Caenorhabditis elegans: one gene and its partners. The protein of the gene in region 3 purifies or fractionates together with the protein of the main gene of each other region. This does not show direct contact. Each region holds a gene or a part of one and is shown on either strand. Other genes may lie near its edges.

The links.
Region 1: the proteins of hmgs-1 (region 3) and rml-5 fractionate together in Caenorhabditis elegans (co-fractionation; one large-scale study listed by BioGRID). This does not show direct contact.
Region 2: the proteins of hmgs-1 (region 3) and hpd-1 fractionate together in Caenorhabditis elegans (co-fractionation; one large-scale study listed by BioGRID). This does not show direct contact.
Region 4: the proteins of hmgs-1 (region 3) and rml-4 fractionate together in Caenorhabditis elegans (co-fractionation; one large-scale study listed by BioGRID). This does not show direct contact.

The regions. Positions count from the first base shown.
Region 1 is NC_003279.8:1,791,725-1,796,953, reverse strand, and holds rml-5 (NAD(P)-binding domain-containing protein), read right to left. Parts: upstream 3,701-5,229; 5' UTR 3,695-3,700; coding exon 3,590-3,694; intron 3,163-3,589; coding exon 2,986-3,162; intron 2,333-2,985; coding exon 1,847-2,332; intron 1,604-1,846; coding exon 1,501-1,603; intron 894-1,500; coding exon 613-893; 3' UTR 530-612; downstream 1-529.
Region 2 is NC_003281.10:10,533,568-10,538,202, reverse strand, and holds hpd-1 (4-hydroxyphenylpyruvate dioxygenase), read right to left. Parts: upstream 2,678-4,635; 5' UTR 2,656-2,677; coding exon 2,245-2,655; intron 2,083-2,244; coding exon 1,786-2,082; intron 1,174-1,785; coding exon 700-1,173; 3' UTR 520-699; downstream 1-519. UniProt on the Caenorhabditis elegans protein: Key enzyme in the degradation of tyrosine.
Region 3 is NC_003283.11:5,682,177-5,686,424, reverse strand, and holds hmgs-1 (Hydroxymethylglutaryl-CoA synthase), read left to right. Parts: upstream 1-1,835; 5' UTR 1,836-1,837; coding exon 1,838-1,942; intron 1,943-1,986; coding exon 1,987-2,115; intron 2,116-2,165; coding exon 2,166-2,318; intron 2,319-2,364; coding exon 2,365-2,590; intron 2,591-2,636; coding exon 2,637-2,871; intron 2,872-2,918; coding exon 2,919-3,107; intron 3,108-3,161; coding exon 3,162-3,373; intron 3,374-3,422; coding exon 3,423-3,562; 3' UTR 3,563-3,704; downstream 3,705-4,248. Other genes in the region: F25B4.7 (ADP/ATP translocase), read left to right, coding at 11-84, 133-379, 427-546; F25B4.4 (Elongator complex protein 6), read right to left, coding at 730-834, 885-1,145, 1,202-1,322, 1,368-1,537; prp-39 (Pre-mRNA-processing factor 39), read left to right, coding at 3,795-3,856, 4,140-4,217. UniProt on the Caenorhabditis elegans protein: This enzyme condenses acetyl-CoA with acetoacetyl-CoA to form HMG-CoA, which is the substrate for HMG-CoA reductase.
Region 4 is NC_003280.10:4,293,361-4,299,483, reverse strand, and holds rml-4 (dTDP-D-glucose 4,6-dehydratase), read right to left. Parts: upstream 4,384-6,123; 5' UTR 4,383-4,383; coding exon 4,143-4,382; exon of another isoform or gene 3,888-4,142; intron 3,749-3,887; coding exon 2,864-3,748; intron 2,390-2,863; coding exon 2,247-2,389; intron 2,094-2,246; coding exon 1,972-2,093; intron 1,172-1,971; coding exon 1,092-1,171; intron 1,026-1,091; coding exon 600-1,025; 3' UTR 534-599; downstream 1-533.

The DNA of each region.
Region 1 (5,229 bases), on a different chromosome or scaffold from region 3:
CGGAAAGTCGGCAAATTGCCAGTTTGCCGATTTGCCGGAAATTGTCATTTTCGGCAATTTGCCGGGTTGTCGATTTGCCGGAAATTTTCATTTCCGGTAAATTGCCGGTTTGCCGATTTGGCAGAAATTTTCAATTCCGTTAATTTGCCGTAAATTTTCAATTCTGGTAATTTGCCAGAAATTTTAAATTACGGCAATTTGCCAGTTTTGCCGATTTGCCGGAAATTTCAAATTGCGGCTATTCACCGGTTTGCCGATTTGCCGGAAATTTTAAATTCCGGCAATCTGCCGGTTTGTCGATTTTCCGGAAATTTTCAATTCCGGCAAATTGCCGGTTTGCCGATTTGCTGAAAATTTTAAATTCCGGCAAATTGCTGGTTTGCCGATTTGCCGATTTTCCGGAAATTTTCAATTCTGGCAAATTGCGGGGTTGCCGATTTGCCAGAAATTTCCAATTTCGGCAAATTGCCGGTTTGCCGATTTGCCTGAAATTTTCAATTCCGGCATTTTGCCAATTTGCCAGTACAACACTAATTTCAAAATTTATTGATTGAAAAAATCGCAGAAAAAGGAATGCTTTAAGTTCAAAAATAATTTGCAAAAATTCAATAATTAAATATTATTATTAAGTCCTCCAGTCTTGCATGCCTTAATCGATTCCAGCACGTTTTTATCGATTTTCTGTCCAATTATGAGCGTTTTTTCGAAATATTCCAACATTTTCCCAGTGTATCCTTTAACGGCAAGAGCTGAAGACTCTTGGCTCATAGAAGTATTTCCAAAATGGGTGAAGTGTAGGGAGAACTTTTCGGCAATACTTGCGAGAAGCCATGGAAAATAGAGATTAGTCGCCATATTGGTACGGAGAGTGAAGCAGTCGCCTTCGAATGAGTCTGGAATTTGAAATAAAAAGCTTTTTTTTGGCCCAGAATTTTTTTCTCGGTGAAAAAATATTTTAGCGAAAAAAGCTTTGATTGAATTTTGAGACAAATTTTAAGTCCAAAAAAAATTTTTTTTTTGACATTTTTGAATTTTTTTAAAGCATAAATTGACATAAATTTCGACCAAAAAGATTCTTTCGTGGCCTAAAAACTTTTTGCGGCCACTGGCTTCCCTCATAAATTGAAATGGAAGAGTTTTTGCCGAACTAGGCCATTTTGGCTCGGCCATATCTGGGGTAGATTTACGGCGCGTTTCGTGTCGCGTCGCGGCTTGATTTTAGTTGTAAAACTAAATGTGTTTGTCCGTGTGGAGTATACGACTTTCCCACACGTTTTCCGGCGGGCGATTGTCAATGGAGCGCGAAAAATTCAATGAGAAAGGCCAGAACCCGTGATTCGTGAAATTGAATTTTGAGACAAATTTTAAGTCCAAAAAAAATTGTTTTTTGGCATTTTTGATTTTTTTAGCGTAAAAAGAAAAGCATTTCCGACCAAAAAATATAATTTCATGGCCTAAAAACTTTTTGCGGCCACTGTCTTCAGCCACCAAGTCACTTACCGGTTTCATTTCCGAAATAAACCAAATGGGATGGATTGATTGTGTTAATCTCATCGATAACCGATTTATCAGTGGCTTCTTGCAGATTTGTGATTGTGGATTCCTGGAAATTAGTTAAGTTTTGACTTTTTGAGAGTTTTAAAAATTTAGAAACGAATTTTAGACACTTTTTTTGAATTTCCCGCTTAGTTTTACCCCTGGAGCAGCAAATTGTCGTAAAGTATGGTGTTTTTTTTTTTGAGGCTACCGTAATACAAAAGACGTAATTTTTAGATATTTTCTGCAAATTGTCGTAAAGTATGGTGTTTTTTTGTGGCTACCGTAATACAAAAATTTGAGATCAAACCTTGGAAACCAGTCCCTCCAGCTTTAGCAGCTCCAAAAATTGAGTTTTCAGTTCCGAATTAGCTCCGAAAACTAAGAAAATTGGCTTAAAAACTTCTTCGATGGGTCCCTGTTCCTTTACAGAGCCAGACGGGCTCCAATTCGTTTCTTTCTGAATTTTTTCAGCTGAAGAAGCCGAAATATTGTAGACCTCCGCTGGTTTTTGGCTTTGTGCCAACTTTTCAATTGCCAATAATCCACGTGTCGCGTCAGAAATCGATAAATCATCGGATACCCTTCCGATGACCATTGGAATACGATAACTGACAGCATAGCTGTGAGCCATTGCTTCAACGGACATTTGAGCTGAGCCGATGAATGTGACCGGCTCTAGAGGTTGGGTCTCGACACGATTCTTCGCCCTACCGTACACCTCGTCACCACTAATGAGAACCAGAGATGGTGGGGATGCGGATTTACGGATTGCATCGAGGATTGACGTGATTCCCTGAAAAAAATATTGATTTTTTTTTAATTCTAGGGGTTTGTCAACTGAGCGCGCGTGCTTTTACGGAAATTTTTCAAAAAAATTTGAAATTTCTGAAAATTTCTGCAATTTCGTGAATTTTCTAAATTGTTCAAAGATTTTTGGAAATGTTGATTTATTTTTAAAATATTTTTTTGTATTTTTTTTAGAATTTTAGAAAAGATATAAATTTTTCAATTTTTCTCAACCTTTTTTTTAAAGAAACCTCTGGAATTTTCTGATTTTTTTTAAAGCATTCAACATTTTCTAGAAATTTCGGACTTTCAGGTGGTGTCAGAGTGTCTCATTTTGGCTTGATCTACGTAGATCTACAAAAAATGCGGGAGAAGAGACGCAGATGGTTTAGAACGTGCTGACGTCACATATTTTTGGGGGAAAAATCCCGCATTTATTGTAGATCAAACCGTGATGGGACAGCCTGACACCACGTGGACTTCTGGAATTTTTATTTTATTTTTCAAAAAAATATTCCAAATTTTCTGATAATTTCTGACTTCCCAGGAGTTTTCTGGATTTTTTTTTTAATTTCTGACTTTACGAAATTCGAAATTTCTCTATTTTCACGTGGAGTACACCCAATGTTTGCCAATAGAGCATGTTTACTAAAACCTTACCAGAATCAATTTCTTAGCTCCTTGAATTGGCTCCAAGAGCACATCAGTTGTGGTGAGAGATGCGTCGAAAATTGTTTGGATTTTGTAATTTTCGATTAGATTTTTGATTGCTTCCTCGTTGATTGATGATAAATTGATAAGTGTGAGCGATGGATTATTGATCAGATTTGTTGGAATCTGGAAGAGAAATTTGAAATAATTAGGCCATCATGAAATTTCTCGGCCACCTGAGAATTTCTAGGCCACTCTAGCATTTTCAATGGGAACCATTTTCGCTGTTCGGCAATTTCGGTAATTGCCGAAAATTCAAAAAACCGGCAATTGCCAAAATTGCCGATTGCTGAAAAATTTGAGAACCTGCAATCGCCAGAATTGCCGGAAATAAAAATTTCATACTTTTTGTAGATTTAGGAGCCTAAAAATGCAATTCCGGCAATTCCGGCAATTTGGACAAATTTGGGCAAATTTGCCGAAATTACCAATTGCCGGAATAGGAACGTTAAACTTTTAAGGCCATTACAAGGATTTCTCGGCCAGCTGGAAAATCCTATACTACTCGATAATTAAAAATTAATTTTCGAAAATTTTGTAGGCCACCACTTACCGCCTCATTATTGTGCAGAAGAACCACATTTCTTCCGTTTTTTAGCACCGCCTCCGCAAGTTGAGTAGATATTTTTGAAATCCCGCCGGTAATCAAAACGGTCATTTTTCACTGAAATTTCGAAGGTTTAACAAAAAATCTGCAACGCCTAGCAACGGAGTGTCGCTTCACGGGGTTCTGGCCTTCCTCATTAAATTTTTCCCGCTCCATTGACAATTGCCTGCCGGACTGGGAAAGTCGTGCACTCCACACGAACGAATACATTTAGTTTTACAACTGAAATCAAGCCGCGACGCGACACGCAACGCGCCGTAAATCTACCCCGGATATGGCCTGGCCTAGTTCGGCAAATTCTTCCATTTCAATTTATGAGGGAAGCCAGAACCGCGTGTCGCTTGTCAAAGAAATTTTTTAAAATTAATTTTTTAAAATGTGTTTTGGGAAAAAAATTTTTAAAAAAAGCAAATTATTTTTCAAAAAACCGTTTCCTCAATATGTTCAAAAACCAAATTAATTTTAAGATGAACATAAATTCTCCAAAACAAAAAAAAATAGAAAGTCGAGAATGAATACAGTTTCTGTATGACATATCGCGGTCAAGGACGGCAGCGCAGAGATCGCAACGAACAGATAGAAGTGAGAGAGTATTGGTAGATGAGAGCCGCAGAGAGACATGCGAATGAAATCGAGATAGATCCAGGACATTGATTGTATACTCTATCTGCGACAATAGAAGTTTTGCAGCCACGTAGCATGAAAAACCACAGCATTCAAGTTTCGCGCGCCAAAATTCTTTCAAAAAGTTCTGAAAATTCTGAAAAACTTAAACTTACAAGGGCCAAATAAAATATATTTTAACTAAGTTCCAGACTTCTAAATAAAACCTAATTCGTTTGAAAAAAAACCCCATTCTAAATAGGCCCCTGGTGCAAAAAAAATCAGTGGCAGAGTGTCCCATTTCGGTTTGATCTACGTAGATCTACAAAAAATGCGGGAGAAGAGACGCAGAGTTCTCAACTGATTTTGCATGGTTAAGAGTGACGTCACATTTTTTTGGGCAAAAAAATTCCCGCATTTTTTGTAGATCAAACCGTATTGACGGACTGAAACCAAGTGGGAGCACAGCTTTGAGCTGCAAAAAAGTCGCTCTGAAAAATTTTCAGTCTAGTCGCCACTCTAGTCGCCAGTTTGGTCTGAAAAATTATAATTCAATTTTTAGAAAATTCTAGAAGTTTCCAGATTTTTCTAAAAAAGTTGTTTTTTTTCTCAGAAAATTTGAATTTCAGCCAAAATTTTATCACAGAAGATTTTAATTCCCACCAAAAAATTTTCCCATTAAATTTGAATTTGAAAAAAAAAAACTAAATTTTTTCTTAAACTACAGTACTCCTACAGCACCCCCTACAGTACTACTACAGTACCCCGGCTATACCCCCTACTAACCTCAAACCAATATCTCTTCAAAAGACAAAAAGTCAATTTTTCCAAAACTACAGTAATCCTACAGTACTCATACAGTACCCCTACAGTACTACTACAGTACACTGACCATATCCCCATACTAACCCTATACCAGTATCAATTCATAATATTTTTTAATATATAAATAATGATCTTCGCGGCAAATTTTTTTTGACAAT
Region 2 (4,635 bases), on a different chromosome or scaffold from region 3:
TACGACACTTTCCGTTTTTTTTCTCTATATTATTTGCCCTTTCCCATTCCCCAGACCATTCCTCAGAACCCCCTTTTCCCCTTCCATTTCTTTGTCGAGAACAATAAACACGTGGCAGAGTTTGAGATTGTTAAATGGTTCGATGAGTATTTTGAATTATCAGGAAAGACGTTTCCAATTTTTAAAAATTAATATCTGGCTTCAAACTAACTTTTTCAAACATCCCCGTAGCCATTCTGTTGCAAATTTTGTGTTCATTCAGAATGTAAAAAAAACCAAATAAAAAAAGTTTCATATCCGCTAAGTTCAAGCAGAAAAAGTGGATTTTCAGTCATAAGTTTTAGTGCACAAATTGAGATTGACTAAAGCCGACCATTTATATGCAAAATTTAGGGCTCTCATGAGGTCGCCGTAACGGTGCCTGCGCCTGCCTCATGGCGTCACCTCGCCGCATGTGTTAAAAAGCAGCGGCCGACGACCCACGGGTTCCACATTTGTTTTGATATTAAGACTCAACAATTCTTTCATAAAATCTTTATTCTCTCAATATAAATGCAACAAGAATCAATAGAAAAAACAGGAAACCGTTGTGGGAATGGGTATCTTTGTTAGGGGGAACTATAATACAATCTCATGGCACATGGAATTCACTTTGGGTCTTGGCAACGAAGTGTCGTTGCAAAATAAAAAAAATATAAGTTACTTAGTATTTCCATCCTTAACATTATCATAGAACAAGTTGCCTCTCTTTGTCTGTTCCAATTCAATAGACTCGAAAAGAGCCTTAAAGTTACCGGCTCCGAATCCTTCATGATTCTGTCGCTGAATAATCTCCAAGAATAGTGTCGGACGGTCCTGGCATGGCTTACTGAAGATTTGGAGCAAATACCCATTCTCATCGAAATCCACCAAAATGTGCAACTTCTGAAGACGATCCATATCCTCCTTAACTACCATTGAAGAAGCCGCGAGACGTTCCTTGAGGTTATCGTAGTAGCTTGATGGAATGGAAAGGAATTCACAGCCACGGGCTCGAAGAGCTTCAATTGCAGTAATGATGTCGGATGTGTTGAGTGCGATGTGTTGAACACCGGATCCTCCGTAATAATCCACGTATTCCTGGATTTGGGAGATTGCCTTTTTGTCCGATGTGGCTGGCTCGTTGATTGGCATCTGCAAAATTTTTGTATTAAAAGTTTAAGCATTTTCTATGTTATTCAGTGTTTTTCAGAAAATAATTTAAATTATTTTGTCAATTTTCTGGAGAGCCAGAAAAAAAAACACAATTATTTGAAAATTCAATTATTTTCCCAAAAATCGAATATTTAAAACATTCGTCGTATTCAAATTAAAAAATGGTTTCTGAAATAGATGTTGAAAATGTTTAGATACTCAGTATTCCATATTCAAAATGCCCTGGAGGACTACACGAAAATTACAATTATTCATTTCCCACGTAGAGTACACAATTGTTCCACAAGAAAAAAAAATTAAAACCCGCGATATGTCGGCTGCTGTTATTTTTCTATTGATTATAAAGACTAACTAGCAACCGACATCTCATAGGACACCGTATTTACCAAATCGATATCTTGATTTTTTTTTGTTGAAAATTACTAATATGTATTTTCCACAAGAAATCTTGCTATAATTTTTTGAATTAAAAAAGGTCGTGCGTCTTTTTAAAACCCGCGATTTGTCGGCTGCTGTTTCTTTACAATAAAAACTAGCAGCCGACATCTCACAGGACAGCCGCACTCCATCGATCTCTTTATATTAACTAACCTTAATAGTCTCCTCGAAATTCGTTACAACAATGGAACGAAGAGCCGAGTACTCGGTATGAATCATGGAATCATCAACAGACCAGAATCGATGGAATTTCAGCACCTTCTCGTACCACTGAACAGCTGAGTCCATTTGCAAGTCTGGCTGATTACCGACACAATGATCGAGGAAGTTCAATCCAACGCGTGGAAGAGTCTTGAAGAATGTGGCTGGCATTGGATGAGCCTTGAAGCCGGGCAGGAATGCTCCACGATAATTTTTACGTTCCAGCAAGGTGTGGTCGGTTTCTCCATACTAAAAATAATATTTCATTGTTTGGATTATTAGAAATTTGCATTTCTCGTCAAAATTTTTTCTCAAAAATTTTTTAATTCCACCAAATTTTCCTGGTCAATCTTCAGTGCAATTTAACAACTTCGGAATTTTTGAAGATATTTTTATTTTTAAGTCTCTTACCGTTCTAAGCGTAGCATATCGAATGGATCCATCAGCATCTGACTCTTCAGTAATATCATGCACAATAGTTGCTCCTGCAGCTTTTGCGTGTGCAATAATCGAATCAAGATCCTCAACCTCAAAGCACACATCCTTAACTCCATCTCCATGTTGAACAAGGTGATTTCCGAGTTCTGAATTATCAGGCAACAATGCTGACTCGAAAATGAACACGATTTTGTCTTGTCGAATAGCGTGTTGAGCAGTAATTCTAGATCCTGTCTCGAGCCCCTTATAGGCAAATGGCTCAAAGCCAAAGTTTGCACAATACCAGTAGGCAGCTTGTTTAGCATTTCCGACTACAAATCTAACATGGTCGAATGCAACAAAAGTGCCGATATCTGGTTTTGCTCCTTTGTCGAATGTAGTCATTTTGATTGAAGTTTTGAGTTTTCTGGAATTTATAGAGTTTAAGGATAAAAAAGGAAGAAAAAAGTCCAGGGGGGTGGGCAGCAATTGCAGTTCGGCAAATTTTTTTTTCGAAAAAATTCGGCAAATTGTCGGTTTGTGGACTTGCCGGAAACTTTGATTTTTGACAAATTGCCGAATAACAATTTGCCTGAAGTTTTTAAAGGGATGTTTTATAAGACGGAAACTAAGCCTTTTTGGAAATTTTTTGCCCGTTTTTTCGAAATCTTTTCATGGAAATTTTTTGCTTTTTAAAATAGATGTAGGAGCATTCATAGGATACGTACAATTATGCAGAATTAAATTGATAATCTTTGCCGATTTAAAAATGATAAAATTGATAATCTAAAATTTCCAAAAAAAAAATGTGCACAGCCACAATTTGCCGAAAATATTCCGTAATTACCATTTTTGCGGCAAATTAGCAATTTGCTGTTTTGACGGAAGTTCTAAATTCTGTCAAATTGCCGGTTTGCCGAAAATTTCCATTCCGGCAATTCAATTTTTGTTCAAATGTTCTATATAAAAACATCAACTTGAGTTACAGATAATTGCAGATTTAATGTTAAAAAAATTGGCCCGCAAGTCGTCTGCCGCTTAATGAACGGAAAAAATACACCACATCTTGTTAGTAAACGTTTTGAAATTTAAACTCTTTCTGGAAAATCCCTTAACCGGCATTGTATGTCTTGAAAATTGGGGTGGCATAAGGGTTGTCTAAAAACAATATCGAAATAAAATTTTTTTGGAAATATTTTAAAACTAGGTAAATATAGTTTACAAATAGTACTGTATAGTAACAAATGTAACATAAAAGCTTTAAAACTATGTAGCATATGAAAAAATTCATTTGACAAAGCTTTGTAGTTTAAAATTTATAAATATCTACAATATGAACCGAGATACAACTCGCCAAAATGAAAGAGAGAAAGAAGAAGAAAAAACTGTAAACAACATCTGAGTGCTAGTAGACTATAGTGGCACTGTGTTACTGCACATAATGCAAGTGCCGACTTTTATAGCACCCTCACGCAAAATTCGGATCGTCACGAATTTCGTCGTCGTCGACAAACTGAAATGAGTCGACGTCGAAAGGGGCGGGCTGGGGGCGGGGGAAGTTGGACACGTGACATTGAGGAGACCACAAATAGTGATGCAATGTGGTCAAAAGAAACTGATAACGCACGTGGGTCGGCATCGTTTCGTTGAAAGATGCTGCTGCTGTGGAGACCCTAATTTGGCGACGAAACTCTTTGAAGATCGGAAGATGCTTGAGGGGAGGGGTGAGAAGAATGGTGAGGTGTCATGGGAGTTTGTAGTCGGAATATAGATGTATAGTATTTTGGTATATGATCTTATCAATGAGATCGAGTAGATCAAATCACACGGACTAACTGTTCAACGTTCTTCAAATTTGCGGGAAGTTCAAATTTTAAAGAAATTTTTTTGGCGGGAAATTCAAATTTTTTGAAAAATAATTTTCAGCGGGAAAAAATTTTTGAGAACAATTTTCGGCAGAAAAACTTAAATTTTCTGAGGTAAAAATTTGGCACGAAATTCAAATTTCTGATAAAAATATTTTTGGCGGAAAATTCAAACTTTGTGAGAAAGACAATTTTTAGTGGGAAATTCAAATTTTCTGAAAAAAACACCCGATTTTTGTTTCACTTTTTTTTGTTTCCGGGCTCACTTTTGTAAAGCTTGAGCAAAAACAAGTAAGGTAAGTATAGTGCCACGTGGCAACATTATTTTAATATGATATCAATAGAGATATGATAATGAATCATTCTCTGTCTACATTTCATCATCATTATCCGCGTTCTTCCACGCGTACCCTTATAAATCAATGACACCACCACCCGGTTTATCAAGATAGGCAGGATTCCTGACCCATCATTTTCCAATTGACACGTTTTCAGTCAGCATGACAAAGAAAACCATCAC
Region 3 (4,248 bases):
ATGTTTTCAGGATCGCGAATTCACGGGAATGTTCGATTGTGCTAAGAAAATAATTAAAAGTGACGGAGTTCCAGGCTTATACAAGTAACTGATTTTTTTTGTGTAACTGATTTCAAATTATTTATTTTTCAGAGGTCTGATTCCATCGCTTCAATACATGATTATCTATCGAGGAGCATATTATGGTCTGTTCGATACAACGGCTCCATATATGAATAGTGACGGAAAGATGACATTTACTGAAGCATTTCTTGTTGGACAAGTCGTCACTCTGATCGCTGCAATGACATCTTATCCACTGGATACTGTAAGAAGACGACTGATGATGGGTGCTGGAAAGAAGACGTTACCGTTCAATAACACAATATCCTGCATCAAAGTAAGATCATTTAATTGCTTCTCGGACAAAGATTTATTTATTTTCAGTACATTTACACGAAGGAAGGACCCAAGGCATTTTTCCATGGAGCCCTGGTGAACGCGATTCGTGGAACTGGTGCAGCATTGGTTCTGGCGATTTACAATGAACTTCAGAAGTACATGTGACAACCTTCCATAATATAGATAATCTTTAAAATTTCTAGTGCATTCTCTTATTTGTTCGAAAATCAGGCTCTTTTAGAAATACGTGTAAATTTGTATGTTGAAGCCTGTGCCCATTGTTTTCTGTTATGATAACGAAGAAAAGCTTTTTTTGAATCATTTTTTTTATTCAGTAACAAAACAAGATCACTGATCCACAGTTATATATGATCCATTGATTGTGCGTTCACCGGAAAGAAGAATTCCTTTCGTTGATGTTGGAGCAGATGGTGATTTGATAGTGAGCACCGCCTGAATTTCAACAATAACTAATGAACGACAATATTGCAGATTTCACGAACCTTTGCTGATGCATCTTTTCCAAAACCATGGCTTACTGGCGACATCTGGACAAATACGTGGCAGCGGGGTTTCAGAATATCCACAGCATTCGAATGGATAGAGAAAGAAGCGAGAAGAAGCGCATTTTCTTGTGATAACGTCTTTAAATGTGTGTAGATTTTGTGCACGAAAATGGTAGTTTCAACTGAAGTTGCTCCAAATTGCTCCAATATTGAAAGATCATCGAAGAGAATAACTGACGCAGAGGAATCAATTAATTTCTGAAAAATTTTGAGTTAAACAATTTTTATTCGAAAAAAGATATATGCTGAAATACCTTGTACAACTCGTCCATAATTTGTTCAGAGGTGATATCAAATAATTCGAATGGTTTCAAGAAATCGTAGAAACTAATTTGAGTGGGATTCCATCGAACTCCAGCCTTCGAACAAATCAGTCTATAACAATTAGTTTTACTTTCCATTTTATAAAGATTTACTCACTTGTAATTTGTTTCAGACAATTTGGTCGAAACAATAGCGACTTTTTGACTTGAAGTCGAAGCTGTAGAAAGGAAATGAAGAACAAATGGGAGTGACGACGCGTTATCCACTTCTTCACATACAATCAAGCCCTTAATTGACTCTTCTTGTCCTTTTAGAATTTTCAGCATTTTTTCTTTTTCTGAAAAATGTTTTTTTGTATGAAATCAAATGAAGAAAACGAAGTTTTGCAGAAAAATGAAAATGATACAATTTTAGTTTGTCCGAGAGGAGTACAAATGACTCGTAAATCGGTTTCCCCTCCCTTGGGTCTCGCAGGGAAGAGCCGTTGCCTCGACGACATTTACGGGCATTTTGATATTTCAAAACTGTTTTTTTGGCAAATTTGCATAATGAACACTTTTCGTCGATAAATCATCGTTTTTTGTGATTTTTTGCAATTCACATTTAAAAAAGAGTTTATTGCAGGCATGAGCTTGGGTCAATTGTCATATACACCAGTGACGGATGTTGGAATTGGAGCAATTGAGTTGTATTTTCCCCAGAACTTTGTCGATCAAAATGATTTAGAAAAGGTATTAATACCATTATTTCTTCAATATTGATTCCTAAATTGCAGTTTAACAATGTATCCAGCGGAAAATACACAATTGGACTGGGGCAACAGCAAATGGGATTCTGCTCGGACAACGAGGACATCGTATCCATCTCCCTTACAGTCACAAGGAAACTTATTGAAACTTACAAAGTAATATTCGCTATCAAAGTACTTAGTTTCCTCAGTTTCAGTGTGTTTAGATCTCGACTGATTCGATTGGCTGTTTGGTTGTAGGTACCGAAACAATGATCGACAAGAGCAAAAGTGTGAAGACAGCTTTAATGGACTTATTTCCTGGAAATTCGGATATTGAAGGAGTCGACATCAAAAATGCCTGCTTTGGAGGCGCACAAGTGAGTTTTTTGTCTCTCAAAATAGAATCTTCAATTATATTTTCAGGCACTGCTGCACGCTATCGATTGGGTCACAGTGAATCATCCGCTTGATAAGAAAAACGCAATTGTAGTAGTCGCGGATATTGCAATATATGAAGAAGGTCCAGCGAGATGTACAGGCGGTGCAGGAGCGATTGCTTTTCTTATTTGTCCAGATGCTTCTATTCCGATTGATCGGCAGTTTTCAGCGTGTCACATGAAAAACACGTGGGATTTCTTTAAGCCAATTAGTAAGCTATTAATTTCTCTATTTACTTTTAAAAAATTAAATTCCAGCGCCGATTCCGAGTGAATACCCCGTTGTCGATGGATCATTATCATTGAGCTCATATTTGGAAGCAGTCAGAATGACATACACATATTTCATATCAAAAGTTAATCGCCATACAACGGGTATCGACGGGCTGAACTCATTTGACGGAGTGTTTCTTCACTCACCGTTCACGAAAATGGTTCAAAAAGGCCTGGCTGTGATGAACTATACTGACTCGCAACTTCGTCACAAGCAATTGTAGGTTGATTAGTTTAGAAAAATTTTCAAATGTTTATTTTATTCAGAAATGGAAATGGTGTCGATCATAAACTCGATGAAAACGATCGCGCTGGACTTGCAAAAATGATCGAATTGTCTGCTCAAGTTTGGAAGGAAAAAACAGATCCATATCTTGTTTTCAACAGGCGAATCGGAAATATGTATACTCCATCACTCTTTGCTCAACTTTTAGCATACTTGGCAGCAGATGATTGGTATGATGAAGAATATACCGATTTTTAGAGCTAATTTTTAAAATTACTTTTCAGCGTCACCGGGGAGAAAAGCATTTTATTCTTCGCCTATGGAAGTGGTCTAGCGTCAGCAATTTTCCCAGGAAGAGTTAGGCAGACATCTAATCTTGATAAAATTCGTCAAGTCGCAATAAGGGCGATTAAAAGGCTCGATGACCGAATTCAGTTTACTCCAGAAGAGTTTACAGAAACATTACAAAAAAGAGAAGTTTTCCTACGATCAAAAGGTGAGTAATTCTAATAGTGATTGGTTTTTAATGTCATTTTGTTTTTCAGAGATTCCAAAATCTCCATCCGAAACTTCATTGTTTCCCAACACTTATTTCCTTGATAACATGGACAAGCTTTATCGCCGATCATATACTTTACACGAGGAACCAAACGGTGTTCAAAACGGGAACGGAATTCATCATTAAAAATGTATCTTTTGTTTTTTTTTTTTTAGTTTTTAATTTTATCACATCGTTTGCCATAGTCTACTTCTTTGTTACTGTTTTTTATTCGCTCATTAGAGTTGTATTTTCTTTTCTTTTTTTTAAATTAAAACGAGTTGTTTTTTTCTGATAATTGATTTTGTTGAACACGTGTACTATTGTCACGACAATATTTTCCATTTCTCGAACGGCTCAATTTAATTTCAAAGTTAAGATGGGAAGAGATCGGTCGTCAAGCTCGGACACAGACGACTACTACCGCTCCAGCAGCAGCAGGTATGCACCGGACTTTTGAACGAAACATGTTTCATTTGGAGGACCATGATGTGAAGCGGTTAAATATAAATTCCAGAACAGCTTGTGGGAAGCTTCGTGAGCCCCACGAAACCACTGCTCTGAGCATCTTCAAAAACTCACCGCAAGCTCGGTTCTGAAATTTCGCCGCTTAAAATTCATATCTCACCGTTCCTGAATTTTTTCACATGAAACATGCCTAGTAAAAAATCCTGATGGCACCATCGGCCCCTCAGAAGTAAACCATCCAAAATTAGAATTTCAGAAAAAGAGAAGATTCACACCGCCGTCGCGACGATCGGCATCGGGACTCGGATCGAGATCGAGATCGACGAAGGAGAAGGTACGATGTGTTCTTAGTTTTGGATTGCATG
Region 4 (6,123 bases), on a different chromosome or scaffold from region 3:
GTAAATCTCCCCCGCGTCGTCTCTTCCCTGCGAGACCTTCTCCGAGCGGAGTACGCAGCGTGTCGGATTCTAGGCAATCGCGCCGTAAATCTACACCACTTTTTTCTTGGTTTTATTTATTTTTCTTCGTTTTTTTTTCTATTTGCACCTGTTAGTCCAAAACAAACAATATTTTTGTGTTTTTTTTGTGTTTTCCTCTTGAAATTTAGCGCCGATTTCTTTTTCGATTCCTTTCATCTCGATTTTGCTCGGTTTTTCCTTGTTTTTTCCTCGTGTTTTCCTCTAGACGCCTCAGGCTTTATTCTTTTTCAGCTATTTAAAATCTCAATTTTTATTCAATTATCACTTTTTAATCCATATTTAAGCAGTTTTTACGCGTTTATTCGCTGATTCAAGTTCAATTTTGCTCGATCGACGGAAAAAACACGCAATAAATTTCGAAAATTACCGAAATATTTATATAAGGATGATAATCAAATAAAAACGAAAATTAGCAAATTTTGAATATTTCAGCTTAAAATAAGCATTTTTCTCCACCTTTAAATCGTTCATTAGTTAAATTTAAAAAAAACATTCCAAAAAAATTGTTATAAATTATATTATTTAGCAGCACTAGTCATTTCGCTGAAGTGCTTAATAAGACTTTGTTTCGCCGACAAAACCGGCGCCAAGGACTGCAGTTTTTCAGTGTCCAATGCGCAATTTCCCTTGGTTGCCAGAAGATGTTGAGCACGTTCAGTTTCCACTCCAATTGATGTAGGATTGACAGTCTCGTCGACAATCTCCTTATAAATCTTCACAACTTCGTAAAGACTAATTGGCTCCGGATTGACCAAGTTCAGAGTTCCACCGCTTCGTTGTTCCATCAAATTGCACATTGCATTCATACAATCTGGAAGGATGGTCAGTGACACTGGAATATCAAATAATTCCTTGTATTTGATGATTTTTGATAACAAGTTTCGTGGTTGTTCCAAGTCCAAACTGAGTGGAAGCGTTATTCGTACATTGAGGTTTTCCCAGCCCTTCAAAAAAAAAAAAGAATTTATGAAATAATTCTTATCTAACACTTTTTCACTTTTTCAACTCACATTTTGATTGAAATAGTTCATTTGTCTGTCGGTGAATCCTTTGACAACAGAATAAGCGGAACCAAAGAATGTCGGCTCGTCTGAAAGCAACATTTTTCCGCAAAGATTTTTGGTGGAGGAGAGTCAAAAATTGCTGGGAATGACAGAAATTTGGTCGTAATCAGGGGTTTGGCGGCAATTGCCGGTTTGCCAATTTGCCAGTTTGCCGATCTGCAGGAAATTTTCGATTCCGGCATATTGCCGATTTGCCGGAATTTGAAAAATTTCCGGCAAATTTCCGGTTTGGCGATTTGCCAGATATTTTCAATTCCGGCAGTTTGCCGATTTGCCGGAAATTTTGATCCTCTGCAAATTTCCGGTTTGCCAATTTGCCGGAATTTTTTTTTCAAAAATTTCAAAATAGATGTAGGAACATTCCTAGTATGCGTACAATTTTGCCGATTGAACTGGAAATTTTGAAATTTCCAAAAAAAAAGTTCAAAACCACAATTTGCCGAACATTTTCGGCAATATGCCAATTTGCCAGAAATTTTCAATTCCGACAGTTTGACGATTTGCCAGAAATTTTCGATTCCGGCAAATTGCCGGTTTGTCGATTCACCGATTTGCCAGAAATTTTCAATTCCGGCAATTTGCCGATTTGCCAGAAGTTTTAACTCCGACAATTTGACGATTTGCCAGAAGTTTTCGATTCCGGCAATTTGCCGATTAGCCGGTAATTTTAAATTCCGGCAATTTGCCGATTTGCCGGTAATTTTCGATTCCGGCAAATTGACGGTTTGCCAGAAGTTTTCAATTCCGGCAATGTGCCGATTTGCCAGAAATTTTCAATTGCGGCATTCTCCTTTAAAACTATAAAAATTATATTTTTCCCACAAACCTTCCTCTTTGAACTCAGCGCCTCCAATCGGGTGTTCCTTATCATAAGCAAACATGTAACCAGTGCCAATGTACGTATAGTGCAGCCCCAATTTTCGACACATGTGCGCCAAAATTGTTGCGCTGGAAAAAAGCGAATTTGCCGGTAATTTTCGATTCCAGCAAATTGCCGATTTGCCGGGAATTTGCATTCTCAGCAAATTGCCGGTTTGCCGATTTGCCGGTACTTTTCATTACCGGCACAGGTGCCTACTATCAGTTTTCTCGACCACCTACCTATACATATTATCCCTGACGTTAATGAAAACCTTATCAGCTCTACCCTCGAGGTATTCAATAGTATTGCAGCCGGGCCCATGGGTTCTTCCAGTCACGCAGATCACGTGGGTCACTCCAAGAAGGGCAAGTTCTCTTTCAACCTGGAAAAGTTTAATATTTTCCATTTTATGGTAGTTTAACGCTCGAAAAAAAAATTGCCGTTTTCCCGGAATTTTTTAATTTGCCATTTTGCCGATTTGCCGGAATTTTTTAATTTTGGCAATTTGCCGTTTTCCCGGAAATTTCCATATTTGGCAATTTGCCGTTTTCCCGGAAGTTTGCCGTTCTGCCGGATTTTTTAAATTTTGGCAATTTGCCGTTTTGCCGGAATTTTTTAATTTTGGCATATTGCCGTCTTGCCGGAAATTTTCAAATTTGGCAACTTGCCATTTTGCCGGAAGTTTTCAATTTTGGCTTTTGCGTTTTGCCGGCGTTTTCCAATTTCGGCATATTGCGGATTTGCCGGAAATTTTCAATTTTGACAATTTGCCGTTTTGCCGGAAATGTTCAGTTTTGCCGATTTGCCGGAAATTTTCAATTCAGCAAAACCACATTTTTCCATCCTCTCCTCCTACCTCTTCATCACTATCAAATCCGACTTTTTTCGTTGCCAACACGTATGGAATGTGTCTATCATTGAGCACGTGCTGCAACTCCTGACCAACATATCCCTTTCCTCCATAGATTGCCACGTGCATCTTCACATGTTTATGTTCCTTAAGTGCCGACGCAACAGTGTGACGCATTCCATCATCAAACGAGGTCGTTGGCTCCCAGCCGAGATCATTTTTCGCCTTCTCGATACTTATCAAATAGCGAAGATCATTGTACGGACGATCGGGAATCGATTTGTATTTTGGTGGCTCGTGGGCTCTTCCGAGTTGTAGATCAACTTCTTCTTGAATCGTTTTCGCTAGATCAGCAACATTTTTCTCGTAATAAGTCCCCAAATTGTAAATCTCGTGGAGTTCTCCTTTCTCACAAACTGCCTTCAATCCTGCACTAGCATCGTCCACAAAAAGCCAAGAGCGAAGTTGCTTGCCGCTTCCTTGAATTGTGTATTCCCCACGGACCTTTGCAATCTCAATAAATCTTGGAACCACCTTGACATCCCACTGGTTTGGCCCATAGATATTGTTCATCCGGGCAGTCACAATTGGAAGGTTGTACTGAGTTTGGTAGGCACGGACGTAGGCCTCTCCGGCGATTTTAGTGGCAGCATACGGATTTCCTGGAACAAGTCGAGAGAATTCCACTTTTCCTTGTTCATTCTCCGAGAGATCAGAGTCCCCGTAAACCTCGTCTGTACTGATGTGAACGAATCGTTTGATCTTTCCGTAGGTTCTAACAGTTTCCAAGAATTGGATGAACGATAGAACATTGTTCTGAACGGCTTCAGCGGTCTCATTGTAGCACCGAGTAGAAGTACAGTCAGCGGCGAAATGGATTACGGTATCGATCTGAATTTTAGCATTTAAAGATGGTCATTGTGTCATATGAAATAGGATCGTTTAGATTGGTAACTACAAAAAATTTAGGAGCTGGGGAGCACCTTGAACTAGAAAAAAAATTTCTCCAACTGTGGATTTTTGCCAGCTTTCGATGATTTTTTGGCTGTTTAGAGGTAGGTAAACGTTCTGAATACTTTTTGGAAATTTCTTAAAAATTCCAAAAAGCTTTCAGAATGTTTGTCCACCTCTAAACTCTGAAAATCATCAAAAGCTGGCAAAAATCCACATCTGGAGACATTTTTCTAGTTCAAAGTGCTTGCTAAATTTTTTATAGTGACCTATCCAAAATGTGCTCTTTCAAATGAGCACAGGTCTCATTTAGAAGAAGCTCTCCAATCCATACCTCATTCTGCTCAAAAACGTTGAGAATCGCCGCCTCATTCTTGATATCAGTGAGTACCAACTTGTACCGTGGGGAATTTCTCACCGACTCTGCCACATTCTGAGTGTCACTGTTCAGAATGAGCTTGTCGATGTTCACAAAATTACACGTCGGCCAAGCATCGTGAATGTAGTTGACAAAGTTCGAACCGATGAAGCCACATCCGCCGGTGATAACCACGTTTTTCGGGGTATAGACCATCCTGGAATTCAGTTGAGAATTATCGAGTAATTTCGTCGCGCAAGAAATACGGTACCCGGTCTCGAAACGACAATTTTTTTTGTAAGCTACAGACGAGTGTGCGCCTTTAAAAAGTACTGTATTTTCTAAACTTTCGTTGCTGTGGTATTATTTTTAAATCGATTTTTCATAATTTTTGATATATATTTTCAAAGAAAAAAACAATGAAAAATCGATTTTGAAAAAATCCGCAACAACAAAAGTTGAAAACTACACTACTCTTTAAAGGCGCATATCCGTTTGTATTTAACAATTGTCGTGTCGAAACCAGGTACCGTAGTTTTAGCGCAAAATTTCGCAAATGAGTAATAAAATGCGGGATTTCGACAACAAAAATTGCAAAATTCTCCTTTTTCACTAGTATTAGTTTGAAAAAATTTCGTTTTGAAGGCTAAAATTTTGAAAAATAGCACAATAAAACGTTTGGCAAAGCTTTTGGGTAAAAATTTCGGAAAAAATATTTTTTTTTGACTTATTTCAATTAACTATCAAAAATGGTATTTCAATTTTATAAATTTTCAAGATTTTTTAGCCTACAAGACAAAAAATTCAAAGCAAAAAGCTGTTCAAATCCCAAAAATCCAACAAAAAGTGGAGGACTTGACCATACAGAAACATGTATACATCTAGGAGAAGATAGATAGATAAAGATTTTTCCACGGGAATCAGAGATTTCGAATATTGATATAGAAGAAACGGAGACTAGGTTAAGGTCATTTGAGAGGGCTATGGGAAATCGATTGAACGGCGTATCTGGTGGGGGAGAAACGTGGAAAATTGATGAAATTGGTCGATTGCACCATGTTGTTAGACTAAAAATTAGTGTCAAAATATAGAAAATTACTTGATTTTTCCATATTTTTACACTAATTTTTATTGGAAAACACATGGTGCAATCGAACAAAAAACACAAAAAAAGTGAACATTTCGGTCTCTCCAAGTGATGATCAGATGTACAGTCCATCAGTAAAGTGTGAATCATTCTCCTTCCGGTGCATCAACAAAAAATTGTGAAATTCTCACCCAAATTACAGGCCAATTACAGTGTGCCCAACCCATAAAACTCGGTTTTTGGCAATTGCCGGCCAGAAATTCTACAATATTTTTCATTAGAATTCAGTGATAGATTATAGAAAAAACATAGGATTCATTTGAAAATTGCCGTTTCTTCTAGTTAAAACAATAGGGAGAACGCTCAAAAATTGTCTGAAAGTTGAATTTGGAGCGTTCTCCCAATTTTTTTAAACTAGAAAATAACTCGATTTTCATATAAATCAAATGTCACTGAATTTTGATAGAAGTTTGTCCTTTCCCTTGTCAGTTTTTTTGTTGGAAATTTCCAACTAAAAGTGACACCTCACAGAGAGAGAGTACCCCGTCCTTCTAATTAGCACCACCAGCTGATCATGTATTTCTTCTGCTGAACTCTTCTCACAAAATGAAATTGGGAACCTAGAGACTCTTGAATTCTCGGGTTTCTGTTTGCTGCTGCTCTCTTTTCTCCCCCTGCTCTCTCTCCTGCCATTTAATGGTTCAGCAAAGCCATTTTTTGATGGAAAATGGCGCAGAGGCGAAAAGTAAACATATTATTTTTCCATCATTTTCCCCTACTTTTCGTTCGAATATTTTCCCACCGACTTCTTCTATCAACTCGTTTGATATGGAGTCTTGGAATTTTTCGAATTTTCGGTTTTTCCCTCTG